3 linked regions of the Drosophila melanogaster genome follow. The protein of the gene in region 1 interacts with the protein of each later gene in a pairwise test. Each region holds a gene or a part of one and is shown in the gene's direction. Other genes may lie near its edges.

What was found. The genes of interacting proteins can lie anywhere in the genome.
Region 2: the proteins of Nacalpha (region 1) and CG3918 interact in a two-hybrid assay, tested with the Drosophila melanogaster proteins (one large-scale study listed by BioGRID).
Region 3: the proteins of Nacalpha (region 1) and CG5376 interact in a two-hybrid assay, tested with the Drosophila melanogaster proteins (one large-scale study listed by BioGRID).

What each region holds. Positions count from the first base shown.
Region 1 is NT_033778.4:12,756,726-12,762,898, reverse strand, and holds Nacalpha (nascent polypeptide associated complex protein alpha subunit), read left to right. Parts: upstream 1-1,899; 5' UTR 1,900-2,094; exon of another isoform or gene 2,095-2,098; intron 2,099-2,106; exon of another isoform or gene 2,107-2,172; intron 2,173-2,374; exon of another isoform or gene 2,375-2,377; 5' UTR 2,378-2,383; coding exon 2,384-3,037; 3' UTR 3,038-3,206; downstream 3,207-6,173. Other genes in the region: CG12374 (uncharacterized protein), read right to left, coding at 1-314, 377-513, 585-746; Dgkepsilon (diacyl glycerol kinase epsilon), read right to left, coding at 3,381-3,500, 3,556-3,873, 3,930-4,937, 4,996-5,154; ox (oxen), read left to right, coding at 5,470-5,601, 5,668-5,703; mRpL18 (mitochondrial ribosomal protein L18), read right to left, coding at 5,785-6,173. UniProt on the Drosophila melanogaster protein: May promote appropriate targeting of ribosome-nascent polypeptide complexes. Required for correct localization of the osk/oskar protein to the posterior pole during embryonic development.
Region 2 is NC_004354.4:6,522,091-6,529,560, forward strand, and holds CG3918 (uncharacterized protein), read left to right. Parts: upstream 1-2,373; 5' UTR 2,374-2,599; coding exon 2,600-2,704; intron 2,705-2,775; coding exon 2,776-3,636; 3' UTR 3,637-4,252; downstream 4,253-7,470. Other genes in the region: CG3342 (uncharacterized protein), read right to left, coding at 4,278-5,586, 5,661-5,713; Agxt (Alanine-glyoxylate aminotransferase), read left to right, coding at 7,026-7,175.
Region 3 is NT_033777.3:22,484,815-22,491,393, reverse strand, and holds CG5376 (uncharacterized protein), read left to right. Parts: upstream 1-2,438; 5' UTR 2,439-2,511; coding exon 2,512-2,709; intron 2,710-2,760; coding exon 2,761-3,183; intron 3,184-3,243; coding exon 3,244-3,312; 3' UTR 3,313-3,361; downstream 3,362-6,579. Other genes in the region: CCT1 (chaperonin containing TCP1 subunit 1), read left to right, coding at 63-135, 373-526, 582-1,472, 1,536-2,091; Pfdn5 (prefoldin 5), read right to left, coding at 3,416-3,613, 3,675-3,884, 4,002-4,100.

The sequences.
Region 1 (6,173 bases):
ACTCTTCGCTCAGTCGCTGCATTTCCGGATCCTCGGAGTTGATCAACTGGTTCAACAGGAAGGTGACGGTGGCCGACGAGATCCACTCCATGGCATGGATGTTGCCCTCCAGGAAGATGGCCTTGTTGCCCGAACGCTTCGACAACCTAATGCTCTTGATGTCGCGACCCTCGTAGGACTGTCCAATCACCTTGCACTCCAGGAAATCGTGGGCAGCACACTCCTGATCGATCCAATCGTAAATGGTGTCCAGAGTGTGGTAGGTCTCCCATTCCATCTGGGAATCGTCGCCAACAGAGGATTCATCTATCAATCTGCGAGGATTCAAGTGTAGATTTTTGTAATGTTATAACTCATCTGAGAATCTAGTACTCACTTCTGCAGATCGTCGACAATCACTTCGTAAACAATTTCGAGGAATTTAAGGGTCTTCTCGAGGGCTCTGTGGAACAAGGGACCAACGATCACATTGTATTTGTTTCCAACAGCACCCAGTTCGTTGAGGAAGTGCACCTTTAAATTGGATCAAGTCAAGACATACATATATGATTTTCAGAAATGGAATGGAATTTGTATGTACTTACAGAGATGTGTTCGTGAATCTTCTTAAGCTCCTCCATCTGCAAGTTCGTCTCAATGGTCAGCTGATAGATACGGAAGTGGTCGTACCGGGCGGCCATGCGACCAGGTGCGGACTTGGCCGCCACCATGGCCACAAGGGTTATCAGAAGGATTGGTAGTTTCATTTCGGAGGTTTGGTGTCTTGAACGTTACAGCGTTCACTGTGAGGAGTCCCTTCACAGTCGTGCTTTTTATTAGCTCCAGGAGTGGCCACTCAAACGGAACGTTATCTAATGGCGATAGGGGATCAGTCATCTGGCGTGTGTCTCCTTTGATCTAATCGCCCATCCAACCTACCACAAAGTAGCTCTGGACTTTGTCTTTCGAACCAGACGTGTCTAAAGATGGTTGATACACAAGAAAATTTAATTAAAGTAATTATAAAAAAGATTTAAGATATTTCAACTTGGCCAAATAAACTTATCCCGAAACATGACCTAATTTTTTATGTTGTATTGTTTTCGAAAGACCAGAGTATATGCAAATAACCTAATTAAAATTTAACTAATATTATCAATTTCTTAAGTTCATGTAAAAACTTATATCGAATATCCAAGTTACCTTTACAAATACTAGTATAAATGACAATAAACTGGTATCAAATTTTTCTCGGTGAACTTCCTCTAACAAAGTCAGCGGAGTCAAATTTGTAAGTGAAATCATGCACCGAGTGTGGAGGCACTCGCCTTATCAGGCATGTTCAATTAATTAAATACTCCTCCAGGCGTCTGCACGTGAAGGAGCACTTCGAGAAGCGTTTGTAGAATGCACTGGCAAACTGAAGATCGTCATCTTCAAGTGACAGACTGGGTGGGGAAGAAAAGCCGTCAAACATTCGATTGTGAAACCATTCATTCGTTTAATTTTACTATTTAAGCAGTGCAGTTATTGCTAGTCACTGCAGAAATTAATCATGCCACTGAGCCTAATCTGTGATGTTCCTTTCCTTCCCTTTGAGTAAGCCACTTAAAATGTTGCGGTGTTATCAATTTGTTTTTAATGTTTTTCTTTTATGTAAAATTATAACTGCATTATCAAAAACTAAAATATTACGTTAGTAGAAGATTGCAAGCAAAGGTGACCCAAACAGTGAACTACACCTTTGAAAAAATATTTAACACTTGCTTTGAATAATTACGAAAAAGAACTAGTTTCTTGGGATATTATTGCTTTTTAAGCTACTCCCATAATTGTTTATAGTTCGATTATTTCAGCAAGCCTTGATAGTCAAATTAAATTATAAATTTTTAGTCATAGTGCTTTACTATAGAGGTGAAAGATTAAAAATGTATTTTGAAACTGTCATTTTTTTGAAAGTAACGTAATTATGAAATAGAGTAGCCACAAAGTTTGAATTTGTCATACTTCATACGCATACGTTCACACTGACAGAATATATCGCTTGGATTTAAGAAAAATCGTGCTAAGCGACAGTCACACTCCCCTCCGCCATATTTCTTTTCTTCGTTTCCGGTAGGTGTGTGTACTCCGCATTTTTCGACTTCAATTTAACTTTTGCCGAAATATCAGTGAATTAGCGCCTTAAATTATGTAAAATATCATAGTTAAGAGTTAGATCTACGGGGGTAGCGAATTATTGATTTTCCAATTGAACTTGAAAAATCAATACCAACTGACCCCCGCTGAGACACATCGCTGAGCCTTTGAACCGGCACCAGATGTTTTCCCTTAGCATAATTGATACTATTTGCAAAGCAATTACCTAACCTCGTGTTCTCCACTTGCTTCCCCACAGATTAAAATGCCCGAACTGACCGAAATCAAGAGCGAGGCTGCGCCCTCCACCTCCGCTGAGGCGAAACCCGAGGACGTCCGCGTTGAGGATGATGGCAGTGATAGCGACTCCGATGGTGGCATGCCTGGTCTGGAGGAGGCTGTAGCGGCCACCACACAGCTGGGTGGAGGTGCCACCGGTCTGCCCATCGACCTCGTCTCAAAGGCCAAGCAATCGCGCGGCGAGAAAAAGGCCAGGAAGATCATGCTGAAGCTGGGACTTAAGCAGATCCAGGGCGTCAACCGGGTGACGATCAGGAAGTCGAAGAACATCCTGTTCGTGATCAACAACCCAGATGTGTACAAGAACCCCCACAGCGACACCTACATCGTGTTCGGTGAGGCCAAGATCGAGGATCTGTCGCAACAGGCCCAGGTGGCTGCCGCCGAGAAGTTCAAGGCCCCGGAGGCTGCTGGCGCTGCAGACAGCGTGGGCGCCACCACATCGGTGGCCCCCATTGCCGAGGAAGACGAGGAGGATGTCGATGACACCGGCGTGGATGAGAAGGATATCGAGCTGGTCATCACGCAGGCCAACACGACGAGGGCCAAGGCGATCAAGGCTCTGAAGAACAACAACAATGACATCGTCAACGCCATCATGGAGCTTACTATGCTTTAGAGCGGGCTTCAGCGTTAGCTGCACTCCTGATTTTGTTGTTTACCCGCCTTTCGATAATACTGACCCAAATGTTGTGCATGCCCCTCAAGGGGCAGCATGTTACACCAGTCGAACATTTAATTATATTTCAAAAGATTGCGTCTTAATAAAAATGGATTTATTTCAAATCAAATACGATTGCGTGTATTTTTCGACTAGTTTCGGTTTTCCACTAGGTGGTGTGGGTGTCTTTACTTGCCTTGCTAACCGAATTCGATTAAGTATACATTGAGGTTCCAGGTTAAGTACTTTGAGATTAGGGACTGGCACATAAGGGATTCTATTCTGTATTAGCTATTAATGTTCAGGTTGCAGCCAGCTTGAGGACGCGGGCCTGACTACGCGAGGAGAGGCGAATATCCGCTGGACTCTGCATCCAGGGTTCGCCATCCGCCTGCATTGGCACGGTCTCCTTGACTTGTAGCTAAAAAAAAGATTGTTGGTTAACAAATATTCGGTTCCATCACTGCAGGGCTTACCCTTATTTGCTTGGCTTGGCCAATTCGCACTGGTTTGCTTATATTGCACTGCAGTTGGGCAATGTGGAAAGAGGAAACAATGCCGAACACCTCCATCATACCATCGGAGATGGAGTTTACAATGCGCACTTCACCATTGGCGTTGCTTAGCTCGCAGAGCTTGCAGCCAGCTCCCCATGAGTCGATATTTAGGAACACCAGCGCCTGCAGCTCAGGCAGTTGCACTGGCTTGTTGTCCAGATACAAGGTCAGCTTTTCCTCGATGTGTTCGCAGCCAGGTTGCATCACCTGTTGCGTTCCGAAGGTAAAGTACAGCAGCTGACGAGATGGATACATTAGTTAACGTTAAGTAAGCACACTAGATTGTAGCCTACCTTATTGAATATTCGACTGCTGAGCAGATAGAATCGAGATTCGCGCGTCTTGTGGAAGTTGTAAGTGATGTACGCATCCACACCTACACTGAAATAGTTGTACACATGAATCGTCTTCGTGGGATGCCTCTGAATAGGCAGTCGATAGTGCAGTTTCTCTATTTGCAGGTCAAAGCGGTCGAGATTCACGGAACGTGCTCGCCGTATGCTCCTAAGGATCTTCACCGGGTCGAGAACAGAGGGCGGCTCTGCTCCCCAGCCCAGAACTCGCGACAAATCGTTGCCGGTGCCCAGCGGCATGATGGCCACCGAGGGCTGGGGCTTGATATTCAGCGTATAGATTGTATTGAGCACCCAACCGATGGTGCCATCGCCGCCCGCCACCAGTATGCGACACGGGCGAGGACTGGCTTTGGCGGCCCACTGCAGGGCGTCCTGCGGACCCCTCGAGCCCAGTTCCATCACCTGCAGCGGATGCAGGTAACCGCGGAGCAGGGACAACACATTGGCACCCGTACTGCTGCCCGACTTGGTGTTGGCGATCACAATAAGCGGCTCCCAGTTCTCAATGTCTGGCGGCGTAATGCTGGCCAAGTGGAGCCGCATCGAGTCTCTGGTTCGGGCGGCCACAAAGCTGTATGGCGGGAAGATCATGTCCTTGAACTCGCCCAAGTCGCAGGCTTCCATGGAGTCAGCGCGAGTGTAGCAATCGTTATGATAGCACCGCTGACACCATGCACATCGCCATCCGTATAATCCTGGATCGGTGCTGACATGGTGATCCACCTCCTCGTTGCAGTCGGCACAATGCACTCCCATAGGCAGATTGCCATGCACCCACAAGTGCCGCACGGAGGACTCGTTGCGCAACCACTTGTCCTTGCACCGGTACTCCCTGTCCGCCCTCCGCTGGCAAGGGGGCGTGGCATGGGTGCACAGGCCGCAGCAGTCGCAAAAGAGTCCTGCGGAGGGGGTTAGCAGGATCTCGCACACATTGCAGAAGCAGGCCTAGAATGAAGGGCATGTATCCTATGGTATCTCTTTCGCGGCAAGTGAATCCGCTCACCTGTTCCAACACTTTTATTGATTTCCAGCTGTGACGTGTTTTGAAGGTGCTCACAAAGTCCTCGGAAAGCAGGCTGCGGCAGAAGGCAAAGAGGATACTGAGGGCCAGCAGGGATCCTATCAGCGCCTCCACGCTCAGCTCAATAGTGCCTATGTCCATGGTCCACGCAGATAAGGCCCAATTACGCTAAATATCCTGGTAATTTGGCATATTCACAAATCGTTTGTTTTTGCCCCATCGACCAGTGTGACCGCTTCAAAGACAACAAAAAACACCTTCGACCTCAATTAAAAACACTTTTCAAGAATAAGCACTAATGCGTAATTTCGATAGGCGGAGTGACACTAGTATTTAGATTCAGGACGTTTCCAACACTGCTTGTCAACTCAACCTAACAAATCAGCTGTGAGTTTGGCGTGTGGAAAAAGTTTGATTGGGAACAAATCGGACGTCTTTAACAAAAATCTAGCCAACATGAAGGTTATCTACAACACCCTGTTCAAGCGCACCTCCACCTACGCCGTGGCCATCATCGCGTCGGCCTTTTTCTTCGAGCGCGCTCTCGATGTCACGTCGGTTGCGATTTTCGAGGGCATCAACAAAGGCGTAAGTATAATCCTGTTATGTAAGCAAAGTTTCCTGGCCAAATCTCAAGATTTCCCCGCTTTGCAGAAACTCTGGAAGGACATCAAGGGCAAATACGAATAAATTAACATGATTTGTTGTAATTAGCAATAATAATCAACGTTTATTCTAAACGAAACGATAACTAAGTGTGGTTTCTTTTGGTTATTTTGATTTGGGTGCTTCCAGTGCGTCTTCCGACACCTCCCAGGGCTTCTCATGCCTCTTCTCATCCCAGGGCTGCTCGTTGGGCAGGCGAGAGGGTTCCTTGAAGGACACCCCATTATCCTGAATGGTTTGAAGCAGCTTCTGCAGCTTGCTACCCGGTACCGCCTCCACGTTGCAGGTCATTTCCGTGATCCCAGACTGCAGGCAGCGCTGTGCGAGCACTCTGCCGAGATTTACAAACGCAGATGTGTCGTTGGTCTTGTACAACTGCTGTTTAATGGCCCATTCCGAGGTGCTGGCACTCAGGATGGTTCCATTCTCAAAGTGCTTGACATCGCCGCTGACATAGCGGCCGCTGGTGTTGATTTCCAAAGTGTGCCAGTAGG
Region 2 (7,470 bases), on another chromosome or scaffold:
TATATCATAAATAAAAGACTTAAATTTATGATTGGTTTGGTTGTGCCATTTCAAGGCCAGTCTAGCTGGATAGATAAAAATCCCAATCCGTGTAATTTACGTTCTGAGAATTGATCTCCTTGGCCAATTTCCTTGCTTTATCTGGCCTTTGCCTCCAAAGATTTACCATCTATATCTGCAGATCTTGTGCTCCTGGACACTCCCCATCCATCGCGACCAGAAATTTATGGCTCCTCCCGACAGACGCAGAGATTTGGCGCTGGGAGCAACAAACAGTTTACGGAAATTTATGTGGCCAGAAATTTGCACATGTTAATTGCTACAAAGCAGAGGGATGGCCGTCTGAATGGGTGGAATGGTTGAACTACAATTGCCACTGCTACTGCTACTACCACTAGCACGACTAGCACCAACGGTAGCCAAGGCCGATAGCCGCCGTTGACGCCGAAAATGCTGCGAGTCCAGAATTTATGGATAAATTATCGAATTTATTTATTTTCGCCACGTTGGTGTACGTTTCTCGGTTGTGTTTACTTTCAGATTTCTTTTAAATTTAGCTGCAACAATTTTTCATAATTTTGCCGCTGGCATAAATCAGCGATGGCGAAGACGGACGGACGTGGCAGAGTGGGGCACAACCATGTTTCTAGTCATTTGTTTTGGGCAACAGTTTTGCAGTCACCGCACGCAGGCGAAAGCGACACAGTTTTCCATCTGCCTGCCGCTATCCCTCCCCTTCCCCCCTTTCCTTTCAGCCCCTAGCTTTTATTATTTTTTCCTGCCAACAAAAGCAGGCAGGGACCCAGAAGAAAATGTGGCCACGGGGCGGGGCGGGGTGCGGCGTGTGCGGGTGATTTTAGGGGGTGGCGCTTGGGGTCCACTTGGAAAAAAAGAAATACAAAATGAAAACGGGTAATCTTAATGCTTTAAGTGCAGGAGTTGAAATATTAATACTTTTAGCTGATGCTTTCAATTTATAAAGATTAGACCAATCCTCTTTTATCTCTAACCAACTATGTCATACTAATGAAAAATGCAAAGCTAAAGCTTACTACTTGGCAGGCAATGGTCACACTGCTCGTTAAATACGGAAATGCAGCCACTAGATGCATTCACTCTCCAGCTTTTCTTTCAGTGTGCAGTCTGAGCGTTAGCGAGAATGAGCGACGATGTCTGGCACAATTACGCCAGCAACAACAACAAGTGCAACAACGTGCAGCATCCTCAGCAGTACAAAAACAACAATAAGGCATAACGAATAACGAATAACGCAAACCCCCGACGGTCGTCGTTCCCGTTGTCGGTTATTACCGTTACTCTTTGGCGTCTTTAATTAAGGCGTGGGCAGCGGGCGAGGCAAAATTTTTAATTTGTTTGTAATTAATACGCCGAGGTTTTGGTCGCCTAGGCGATGAATGCATTGCAATGCACATTGGTCACACTGGCCGACAATAAAACAGTCGCACCGTACGAAATTTGACACTCGAATGAATTAACTGCCGACACTTAAATGGCACAAAATTAACTATGCAATCATTTTCTTTTAATTAACCGTATTCGTTTTAAACGATTGCAGTGTGCATAGTTTTTAATTTTATACCACTTTCAATTTAATTTTTTTATAATGAACTCTCCACTCACCTGATGACTGCTTACGAATTGCCAACTGTTGCCAATGCTTATCCCCACTTTTAATAGTCGGGATCCGCAGCAAGGATAATCACAACAATCGTACGACCAGTTCAGTTAGTGCCACAATCCACGATTAACGGTATGCGATCTAAGCCGTTACAAATATCTAACGGCATTATGTAGCACACGGTATATTTTTGAGTGGAAACCGCTAACAATGTTGTTGTTGCCGCTTCTGCTGCAGCTGCTGCTGCCTATTTTGGCCATGGGGCAAAAACTGGCGGCGACGCCGCGTGCACGTGGTTTTGGCCTCTGTTTGGGCCATGGCTAAAACTGGGTCCTTCACGCAAGCGGGCGGATTGAACTGGCGCTGGCTTACGCACGGACTTTTTTTTTAACTTCGGCACTCAAAAGCACTTGCAAAAAACAAAAACAAACAGCGTAGTTAATAACACAGTCGGCGCAGCGAACTACGCCAATAGGCTGGATATTATGATAACTGTTAAACGTTTCGCGGATTCGTCTCTTCAAGTTATTTATTGTTTTATGGCGCCCTTTCATGCGCGGATCAACCGTAGAGCTTCAAATTTGGTAAACAACTAAGCCGTGCTGGCGTGCAGTGTGACCAGCTCTTGTTCGGGCAACGGTATTTCCGTGCCAGTGTCACCCCAGCTAGCATACCGCAGCCTATCGGTGCTTGTCACGGCTAAGCGGACCGGTGTGCTGCCGGCATGGTATGTTCGAAACGCGGCCGCATGGCCGCACTAAAAACGCGATTTACTTCAACTCGCGTTTCATTTTTACCCCATTGTTGTTGGTATCGTTGTTGTTGTTGTTGTGCACATATCAATTAATGGTGCGCGAGGCGAAATAATAATCAGTCAGTGGACAAGCCCGCCCAACGCCAGAGCCCCAGCCCCAGCCCGCCAAACGCCGCAAAGGTACGACCGGCAGCGGAGCGGCAACCATGAACTTCCCACTGGCGAGCGTCAACAAGGATACGTTGCGGGCTGCCTGCAAGAAATGCGGCTACGCCGGTCACCTGACCTACCAATGCCGCAATTTTCTCAAGGTAAGCGCACCAATCGCATAGACCGCATGTTTATGTTGCTTTTATCCGCCGCTAACCGCTATCCTGAACAGGTGGACCCCAACAAGGAGATCCTGCTGGATGTGGAGAGCACCAGCTCAGACTCGGAGCTGGACTACCTTACGCCGCTCACCGAACTGAGAGCCCAGGAGCTGAAGAGTGGCGCTGAGGTGCCGCCGCCAACGGAGCCAGCGGTGCTTCCCGCGGCAGGCAAACGGGACAGGAGCAAGGACAAGAGCCGCGACAGGCTCAAGGCGAAGAAGCGGGAAAGGGAGCGGGAGAGAGAGAAGGTGAAGGAGAAAGAGAAGGAGAAGGGTAGCCGGAGCAAGGACAAGAAGCGTAGCCACTCAAAGAGCAGCCACAAGCTGGCCGAGAAGAGCAAGGACAAGAAGTCGGTGCGGCACAAGAAGCATGGCAAGAAGAGGAGCCGGAAGCACAAAAAGACCACAAACACCAACAATAGCAGCAGCAACAGCAGCAGCGAGCTGGCCAAAACCAAAACAGGCAAGCGACCGAGCAGCGGCAGCACCAACAAGAAGTCAAAACGACGACGATCATCCTCCACCTCTAGCTCGGATTCGTCGTCGTCGTCGTCGTCCTCCTCCTCCTCCTCGTCATCAACCAGCAGCTCATCGTCGTCATCGAGCGATGATTCGAGTGATGACTCCTCCACATCGAGCGATTCGTCTGAATCGGATTCCAGCGACAACGAGGAGTCCAGCACCAGTGAATCGGATGAGTACGGACGCAAGAAGAAGCGGCAGGGCAAGTACAAGCGCAAGTCCACGGACACGGCCATGCTGCGACGCAAGAAGACCAAGGCGAAGCGGAAGCGACATCGTGCCGGCGGATCCGGTGCTCCGACCGCCGGCAGCAGCTACCTGAGCAGCCTCAGCGACAGCAGCACCTACTGAGAAAGAAAAGAAACAAACAAGGATTAACTGGATCAGCAAGAGAATCTAGATGTGGATCTGTATCTGGATCTGGATCAGCATCAGGATGGATAGACAGCTGCCTCCCAAAGCACTCGCTCCGCAAACTAGCTCGCTTTCCATTTTAGCCGTAAAAACGTAAAGGAGCAGGACCGCCAGCCCATCCTTTCCGCTCCTCACTTCCACAGAGAGACTGCCAGTTCCACTTCCAGTTCCAGGCCCCAAAACAACTTCTCCATGAACTCTTCCCACGGATTATGAGACGCGCAAACCGTAGACTTGTCCCTATACCTTAAATTTCAGCCCGATGTGTGCTGCAAATACAACAAATTAGTTTGTACAAGAGGAAGTCGGAGTTTTTCATAATTGAGAGAGAGCAAAGCATGGGTTGCTATTAATTATAATCTTCCGCAACATATTTTATATCTCACATTTAGTAATAATAGTTGTAATAGATTAGAAAATCGCTTTGTAAATGAGCCCAATAACATGGCAATCTAATGACTTAAAGATAGCTAATAGTGTCTGGCTTGTATTTGTGGATATGTTACGCGACCTAACAAATGATTTAATACACTTTTCGATAGTAATACCGAACATATATAATACGCCTACGTTAGGTGCTATAACCGACCCGAACTGGAGCTGGAGTCGCCTGATTTCTGAAAGATTCGCAGCGCTTCCTGCAGTGCGGAAATGTGTAGCTGCATTTTGGCTATTTGCCGGGAAGACGACTCGCAATTGCGGCAATGGGCAGGCGAAGCAGCTGTGCTTGAATCGGAAATATGCTGGCTGGCTAACAACAGCTGGGCATTCTGCGACTTGAGCTCGCCATTCTGGACTAGTAGCTCCTCGCAAAGGGCGCACGCCGAGCAGCGTAGATCCTCCAGCGCCTGTTCGCGTGCCTTGAGGTTGCGCATTAGCGCTCGATTCTCCCGCTTCAAGTTGAGCAGCTTCTGCTCCAGCTCCAGCATCTCGTCCTCGCTGTCGCGTTCCAGCAGCGGATCACTGGGCTTCTTGGGCGCAACACTCGACTGGCCGCCCATGCGATTCATGGCCTGCAGAATGGCGTCCATCTTGTGCTCCATTAACGCACCCGAGGCACGCTGTTCGTCTAGATATTTGTCCAGTGTCGTCACAGCCAACGGAGTATCGCTGCTCGTTGAAGCGTTGGCCACCGCCAGGGAACTGGCACTGAGTTTCCTGTGAGCATTTGACGAACCTATGGGTCGCGGCACTGGCGTTACTATCACATCCTCATTGGAAGGTGTCTCTGTTTCCCGTTCGCGTTCCTCATCGTCCGCCTTCTCCAGCGTTGGCAGCGTTACGCGGGAACGTGGTTGCGGCTGTGGCGGATTAGGCGTCGTCTTTGTGACCGTTGCTTTAGTTCGGATCTTAGATAAATCCTCACGCGAAGGCGATGCCGAGCTGGAGGATGAGATCTCGCTGAGATAGTGCTCCACTGGCAGTTTGTTTTTGACCATAAACGTTATGAATTCCTTCTCATCCGGTTCCTTGTCGAATCGCAGGCTCCAGAAGCGCTGCTCGTCATCGTAGAACTGCAGATAGGATTCGCGCAGTATCACCTTGCCGCCACGCGGTGTCAACTGCAGCGTGGTCAGCACCTGACTCTTGCTGCGGTAGACAATCAGCTTGCTGGCCTCCATCTCGCCCAGAATCGAGAGGGCCAGGCCGACGCGTCCAACGTTCTCGCTGCTCCGATAGGCATGCACCACCTTGGCAATGGCCGTGTTCCAGGCGGCAGGCGGTGAATCACCCGTCTCCTGGGTGCTACTCCTGGTCATGGCCGGTCTTTTGCCAGCCTGCAATTTTTTGGAGCTGCCTGGCTGATAGCGCAAGCTGGATGATTCGTTCGCCAGCGGACGATCGTCGTCCTCAAAGATCTGGCGCAAGTTGCGAGGACCCGATTCACTGGAGTTCATATATATTTAATATGTATATACCACTGTGCCAAGTGTCCCAATCCCGTCCAGAAACAGACTCACCTTCGCAACTTGTCGAAGAAGTCCTGATAGGACTGATCGTTGCCGATTTCCATGCCTAATTATGCAGTCGCATCGAAAATGTTTAAAAACATTAACTATTGTTCAGTTTGTTTTGACCGAAACAGAAAGTGTGACCAAGCGCCAAAACGAAGAAAACTTGTTTCCACCGGTGAATTGCTTTCAGGAAAATTATAAAATATTATAACTAAATATTAAGCAAAAAGGCCATAAAATAAACATATTTATACATATATATGTTTAATATAGTCAACTGTAATAGAATATATATTCTATATTCAATTCGTTTCAATATAATTAATTCAATATATTAAAACCAAACTGAACTTACTTCTACATTCGAAACAATGTTTTTAAAAAGATGCTTGTGCCTTAAATATGGAAAAATCAATCAATATTTAAACGAACATTTAAATTTTATAGTCACGACCTGCTAATTTGACTGCTTATCACTTTCCTAAATCTATGTTTTTGTTTTTATTTTGATTCTAATTTCACCACCAGCGAAATGGTAATAAATATTTTCGGCCACTCAATACGACATTTGTATTATTGGCGGTTGACCTCCTGGTCACGATGTGTTTTCCACTCCAAATCGCTAATGGAAAAACTGACGATACGGGCACTGCTATCAACCCAAATGTTAGTTGTCAGTGGGCTGAGATTTCGAGAGAATTAAGATCTAGATGCTAGATCTTGATCTCTGCACTCTGCAGATGCTTCCAGCTTCGAAAAAGAAGTTGCTACATTACGTATACGTACCCACAGTCAAGGTTCGTCTTGCTGAATTCGCTGGATTTCTTATTTCACAATAGACATTGGTCCGCCAACCTTCCCAAGGCCATTCAAAGAATCAGCAGCAGCACACTGCAAACAAAAAATGGTACTTCTTTCAGATTAACAATGAAATTAATTGAGTAGTAAGTCATATTATTTCGTAAAGATCTTGTCTTAAAACTGTGTATGATTTTTTGACCCATCAAATGGCAGTCTTAACTTATTATTCTTATTCCAAATTTCGTTCTGTGCCGCCAACGACGCAGTTGCTCTCGATCTTGATGCCTTGATAAGCGGGAGAGCGCATCATTTACCACTTGTTCAAGTGCGTTCATCGGCGAAAATTGCGGCGATAAGCTGCGATCCGGTGCGCTATAAAGTGGCCAGCAGCCCGGCAAGCGTTTCAGTCCGATCTTGGCCAGCCACCGAGAGAGACAGCCCATAAAAACCAACTCCCATCACCAAACAGTAGTAACACCCATTCTACCTGGCACAGCGGATTAGAGAGCAGAAGGCGATAAGGCAGTCGTAAACACAGAGATCTGATTACGTAAATAGGGAACAAAGACCATGGAGGTACCACCGCCACTTGTACTCAAGCGACCGCTCTATGTGCCCAGCAAGACGTTGATGGGGCCCGGACCCTCCAACTGTTCCCATCGCGTCCTGGAGGCCATGAGCAATCCGGTGTTGGGTCACATGCATCCCGAATGCCTGCAGGTACAATATCTTCTTAAAACCACAAAAGTGCTAGCAAGATTGAGCTTAATACTCGAATTATATCGAAAAGTTAAGCCCAAGTCCATATACTCATGGGCCGCACTGTACCTTATCTGAACGAAGTGAAACATTGAGATACATTTGCTGAGCTGGGTCAGAGATCTGTGGGCTAGCCAGTCGAGTGAAACCAGCACATCTCTTATACTTTATAGCAATCTAATATTAGTGATCCCCCCATGAATTGAGCTATTCCCACTGAGCATGGCCAGGTGTTTGTATATTAATCTCTGTATAT
Region 3 (6,579 bases), on another chromosome or scaffold:
CGGTTTTTCAGCGTATTTGATTTATCTGTTTTTTATTAAAAGTCGCGGAAGAACTTAGGAAAATGTCGACCCTGGCCTCTCCTCTGTCCATTGCTGGCACCCGCCAATCCGGCGCATCGGTGCGCACACAGAACGGTGAGAATCCCGGGGTTTTGTCAACATCTGCGGTGCGTCTGCCGGCGGAGCACGTTTCTTACTCATCGCGGGTCACGCTCTCCACGAAGAATGTTCCGGAACCAACCCGGGGGAGGGCGATCTTATTTTAATTGGATTAACAAAAAAACTCATTGAATCCAAGGAGCTACAAGATCCTGTGGACAAGCCTATGCGAAGTGAGGTTATGACTACAACTCGGCTTTTATATGCTTTCAGTTATGGCCGCTCTGTCCATATCGAACATCGTGAAAAGCTCCTTGGGACCCGTGGGTCTGGACAAGATGCTGGTGGACGACATCGGCGATGTCACAGTGACCAACGATGGAGCCACCATTCTGCGACTGCTGGAGGTGGAGCACCCGGCAGCCAAGTGAGTTGTTGATGTGGGAAATCTTTCAAAGAAGTACTCATTTCTAAATTTTAAGGGTCCTGGTTGAGCTGGCTCAGCTGCAGGACGAGGAGGTCGGCGATGGCACTACCTCGGTGGTTATCCTGGCCGCTGAGCTGCTGAAAAACGCCGACGAGCTGGTCAAGCAGAAGATTCATCCTACCTCCATAATCTCCGGCTACCGCATTGCCTGCAAGGAGGCCTGCAAGTACATCTCGGAGCATCTGACCGCTCCCGTTGATGAGCTGGGCCGCGATTCCCTGATTAACATTGCCAAGACCTCGATGAGCTCCAAGATCATTGGTGCTGACGCAGAGTTCTTCTCAGCCATGGTTGTGGACGCTGCCCAGTCGGTGAAAATCACAGATCCCCGTGGGCAGGCAGCCTATTCGATTAAAGCCATCAATGTCCTGAAGGCCCATGGCAAGTCTGCCAGGGAATCGGTGCTGATTCCCGGCTATGCCTTGAACTGCACAATTGCCTCCCAGCAGATGCCCAAGAAGATTGTGAACGCCAAGATTGCCTGCCTAGACTTCTCGCTGCAGAAGACCAAGATGAAGATGGGTGTCCAGGTCTTGATCAATGATCCCGACAAGCTGGAGGCTATTCGTGCCCGTGAGCTGGACATTACCAAGGAGCGCATCAACATGATCCTCGGAACCGGTGTCAATGTAGTACTGGTTAGCGGCGGCGTTGATGATTTGTGCATGAAGTACTTCGTTGAGGCTGGAGCCATGGCTGTGCGTCGTGTGAAGAAGAGCGATCTGAAGATCATTGCTAAGGCTACCGGCGCCGCCTTTATTACCTCGCTGACCAACATGGACGGTGAGGAGAGCTTCGATGCCTCAATGGTGGGAGAGGCCGCAGAGGTGGCCCAGGAGCGCATCTGCGATGATGAACTTATCCTCATCAAGGGCACTAAGGCACGGTAAGTGCAGATTATATCATGCAGTAACATAGTTTGCTTTATCGTATCCCTATGCCTTTTTAGTGCTGCCGCATCCATTATCTTGCGTGGTCCCAATGACTTCTACTGTGATGAGATGGAGCGCTCCGTCCACGACGCTCTGTGCGTGGTGAAGCGTGTGCTGGAGAGCAAGAAGGTTGTAGCCGGCGGCGGCTGTGTGGAGGCTGCTTTGTCGATCTACCTGGAGAACTTTGCCACCTCGCTGGCTTCCCGCGAACAGCTGGCCATTGCCGAATTCGCAAAGTCGCTGCTGGTCATTCCCAAGACTCTGTCCGTGAACGCGGCCAAGGATGCCACTGATCTAGTGGCCAAGCTCCGCTCCTACCACAACTCCAGCCAGACGAAGCCCGAGCGTTCGGATCTTAAGTGGACCGGTCTGGATCTGATCGAGGGAGTGGTAAGGGACAACAAGAAGGCTGGAGTTTTGGAGCCCGCCATGTCCAAGATCAAGTCGCTGAAGTTCGCCACGGAGGCCGCCATTACCATTTTGCGTATTGACGACATGATCAAGCTGAATCCGGAGGACAAGAGCGGCAAGAGTTACGCCGATGCATGCGCTGCCGGCGAGCTGGACGGTTAGACATTCTTCACCGCGAGCGAAGCACATTTCTTCTATCTTGTTTAGGCATTTAATTTTAATCAAATCACTCACTTTCAATTGTCGCCCCATTGATTGTAACAACAATTTAATTGTGTTGCCCTTCGCGATCTGTATTAACACCGCACATCCGCAATCCTTTCTCATCCATGCTTCAATGTATAATAAACTGATCTTCAGAATATGCTGAGGCGTAAACTAAATTGGAGGGAAACAGTTTGTTATTTCGGGAGAGCGATCTGGCCAAGAGCAGGCAGAGAGCGATCCGGAGAGTGGGATGTCCTATAAATAGAGCGTGCATCTATTTGGTCTATTAATACAAAAAGAAAACACATCCCAAAAAGCACGGAAAACGCACATTGCTCTACGAATTTTTATCATTTAAAAAGAATTCTTCATAAAATGGCCGATCATAACGAAGATGAAGCTGTTGGCGGTGACCTAAACAACAATATAACAGCAAATGGGCAGGAGGAAGTGCGTCAGCCGGAGCAGCCGCAGAACGAACTGCTGGACATGGTTTTCACGTTGGAAAGCGAAAAACAGGCACTACTAGAGGAGTCTCGCAAACGGATCGGAGCGCTCCGCAAAGACTTTGAGGTTAGTTACTCGTCTCCACGGGCTGCACCCACTTACTGACCCTGATTGCAGGAAGCCAAGGCGGAAAATGAGCGTTTAAAGCGGAGAGTGGTCCAGTTGGAGCAGTCGCTCAAGCAGTCCGTCATGCTGGGCGGCACAGATGCTCCCAAATCACGACAAGAGCAGGAGGAGCTGCTTCTAAAGGCCAAAACCCTGCTGTTCGAGAAGACCAAGGTGAACAAACAGCAGGAGCAGCAGATATCAGTGCTTAGGACACAAGTAGACTCGATTAAGGATGTGCTGCAGGTGACCAAGGACATGTTGCAGCTAAAGACCGCCGAATGTGATCACACGCAGGCTCGTCTGGAGAAGAGCCAGCAGTGGATCAAGGCGGAGCAAGACAAGTGTGTGCTCACGGAGAAGAAACTAGCCATCTCCAAAGGAGTGTATGACAAGCTGCGTTCGGAGTACGACACCCAGTCACAGATATTCAAGGTGCCTTATAACTCGAGTCCAATGATATACTTGATATACTATTACCTTCTTTCCCTACAGGATCTTAAGTCCGCGTACGAGCAGAAGGTCAAGGTTCTCACCAAGGCTTTGGCAGAAGCCAAGAAATAGCTGAACAATTTAATAAACTACGTTAATTAAATGCACACATCTCGTTAATAAGTTTAATAATTTAATGCTTTCCGTGTCTCGTGTCTCTGTCGTTCTCCGTAGTCTAGGAGCTCTGGGTAACCGCCGGCTGCGATTGCTGCTGCGACTGCAATTTCGCTGCAGCAGCCTGCTTCATCTCCAGCACACTCATCACTGAGTTATAGAAGCGCGTCTTTTGCAGGTGGATCTTTTCGATTTTCTCGATCTGCTCCTGCACGTACTCCACGCGTCGCTTGAAGTAGTCTTTGGAGCCTTCCAGATCCTGTTTGAGAAACAGATGGCAATCAATAAATATTCTAGGTTCGATTGGAAATGTAAATCACCTTTTCAATGTAGTAGCCGGTGCCGATGTCTATGACGAACCTGTTGAGATCCTTGACCCGTCCTGGCACATACATACTGCTGGTCAGGGGCACCAGGATCTGACGGTTCTCCCAATTGGGTTGAAAGGTTCCCAGCGCCTCCTTGGATCCGGCGTACTTGGCTTGACAGCCGTGAAGCGTCGACAGCGAGTCCTGTACGTTGGTAATCTCCTAAGGATCACAAAAATGTACCGATTTTAGAAGCATGTGCCAATTGGGGCGCCCCTCCTCCAGAAACCCCCTCCGCGAGCACACTTGACTCATCACACACCCACATGCGGAACGCACCTGCTCGAACTCCTGCTTGATCTGAATCAGCTGTTCCGGACTCAACTTGGTCAGGTCGATCATCTCGGACTTGGCGGGTGCGCTTGGGGTGGCAGCCATTGCTAGTGCTTACACTTATAATTTACAATTCCACTTTTATTTTATTCAGTCGCCGTATAAGGTTGCCACCTTTGCGTATTCAACTCAACAGGGATGTCATGAAGCTGGGTCAGAAAATATCGATTTCACGGAAGCAATCGGGAATCGAATGATTCGTTGAAATAGTCGGTAGTCCAGTCCCGCCGACGATTTGTTATCGAGTACTAAGCGCGAAGTAAAAATTTAAAAAAAAAATCAGTGACTTCTGAATCTACAATATCTTTTGAGTTTAAAGACAGATCTTACTCAGCAAAAAAGCATTAACCAAACTTGTTTTTCAATTATAGTTTTATTGTATTTATTATATGCAATGTTATAATTCTGTGTTTTGTCAGTCATTCTGTATTTGTATGCGTTTTACAATTTTTGTTTTTGGTTTTCTCGTAAATTATAAAATCTAACACAAAACAAAGCAATTTCTTTAACAATCACTGCCGCTACATATACACGTTACAATTTGTTAAATATATATATATTTATATATATATAAGTAGGCACAGCTCAAGCGCCGCGCATCCAATACATGTTCATATACATATTCTCTGTTATATGTGGGGTGTTGTATGTCGGTTTTTATATATGTATAGATTAGATAACAATGATTTTAAGCCTAAGTAGAAGTAAGTTTTAGTTCCGATACTTGCGATCGTTCCCCTCTATATGCGCTCCCACTCGCAATCGCTGCTCCTCCGATCCTTGAACTATTAAGTTATATGCTTTAACTATGTTATTTTACCCATACAACTAACTGTACTCGTCCTTCGCGATCCTCCCACTATATCATACATACATAACATTTACCTTGATTTGGTTTTGATCTTAATAAAATGTAATTCGTTTTGAAACAATGAAGAAGATCTTGCTTTTGAGGGCGTGTCGATTCGATTTCTTAATCGCGGATATTTTAAGCTCCCCATCTGGATTTTGGATTCAATATCGTGTGCTCGCTGTTAAATCGCAAGGCAAATTTGTATAATTAGTTATATATAATTTGGTTTTCTCTTGAATCGAAACGAATAAACGTTAGTGGTTTACTTTAAATGCAGAGTTTTCATTGTGCAGCATTAACATTGTGAAGAGATAGAGAGAAAGTTGTCGGGAGAGAGTGTTACATTTATAAGTGGGAATGGTTTTGGTTATCAACAGCGTTAAAATTTGTGGTTTCTTTTCGTTTGGTTTCATTATCAAATCGAAGGGACGTAATTCGTAATAATAATCATTGATCGTTAAACATACTCGTACGTTATATGGTATGCATGTATGTATATTTTGTATAGATGTACATTTATAAATAGTATAGTTTGAATGTATGCGTGTATGTCCTGTATATATAGTTGTGTTTATGTACTGTACTGTACTGTATGTACTGTATGTACTGTGTTTCGCTATGTACTTGTAATTGTAATTGTCCTAGGTGTTCATTTCAGCTAGATTCGCTAGTTTGTCTCGTGTTTTCGCTTTCGCTTCCTTTTTGTATACAAGATAAGGGTTTAAAAAACTCGAAAATATATCAAAAGTTTCTTGAAATGCAGTATATATATGTTTTTTAGTTGTTAAATATATATATATATATTCATGTATATATAGTACTTTCCTAGGTATTTACAGCATACCTTGCCTTGGTTTCCATTAAGAATTCGAGAGAAGTATGTCCAGTAATTTCGCTAGTGATCGAATGCGTGAGTTGGTGATTGTGTGAGTGAGGTGAGTGTGCGTGTATTAGTAGTAGTATATCGAGTGTATATAGGTATTTTGTATATCTAATCCAAAATGATACACTAATTGGTATTGATAGTGAGACAAAAATTTTAATATAGCGCATCAAAATGATATATGCGATTATTAATATGTATACAGAATTTAATGGCGGCTTGCTGAATATCGAATTTCGCGTCTATGTATGTGTGCTTGTGTAATAGTATGTGGGTGTAAGCTGTGAGTGTGCTGGTGACTGCTGATTGTGTATACGTCACGTGGGCTTCGAAAAATACGCTTAAAGCTGCTATAATACTGTAAAATTGTTGCTTGATTTCCTCATTAGTCGACGGTAAAGTAATGTTCGCTCACATTGAATAGCAGTTGTTGTAGAAAAGCTAGGTAGGTTCGCTTCAGTGTCTTCGAATTTTGCGTGTGTGTTAGAGTGTTTCGTGTGTAAGTGTGCTAGTGTGTGTGTCTTGTCTTTTCCTTGATATGTCTGAGTTCATATTGCACGCAGATCGGTGACAATATTTAGTCTCAAATACATATAAAAAGTATATGTGTGGGGCTCGGGAGTGGAAGGGACTAACTCAAAGTAGCATCGAGTTGCTGCACGCAAACGAAAAAGTCGCATCACGTATATGTCAACCAAATCGTGGGTTTCTACTGTTTCCTCCGTATTATCGTGTTTGATTTCGTTTCGTTATCCTTTAGGTTTACCACTATCTCATTTACATTTTAA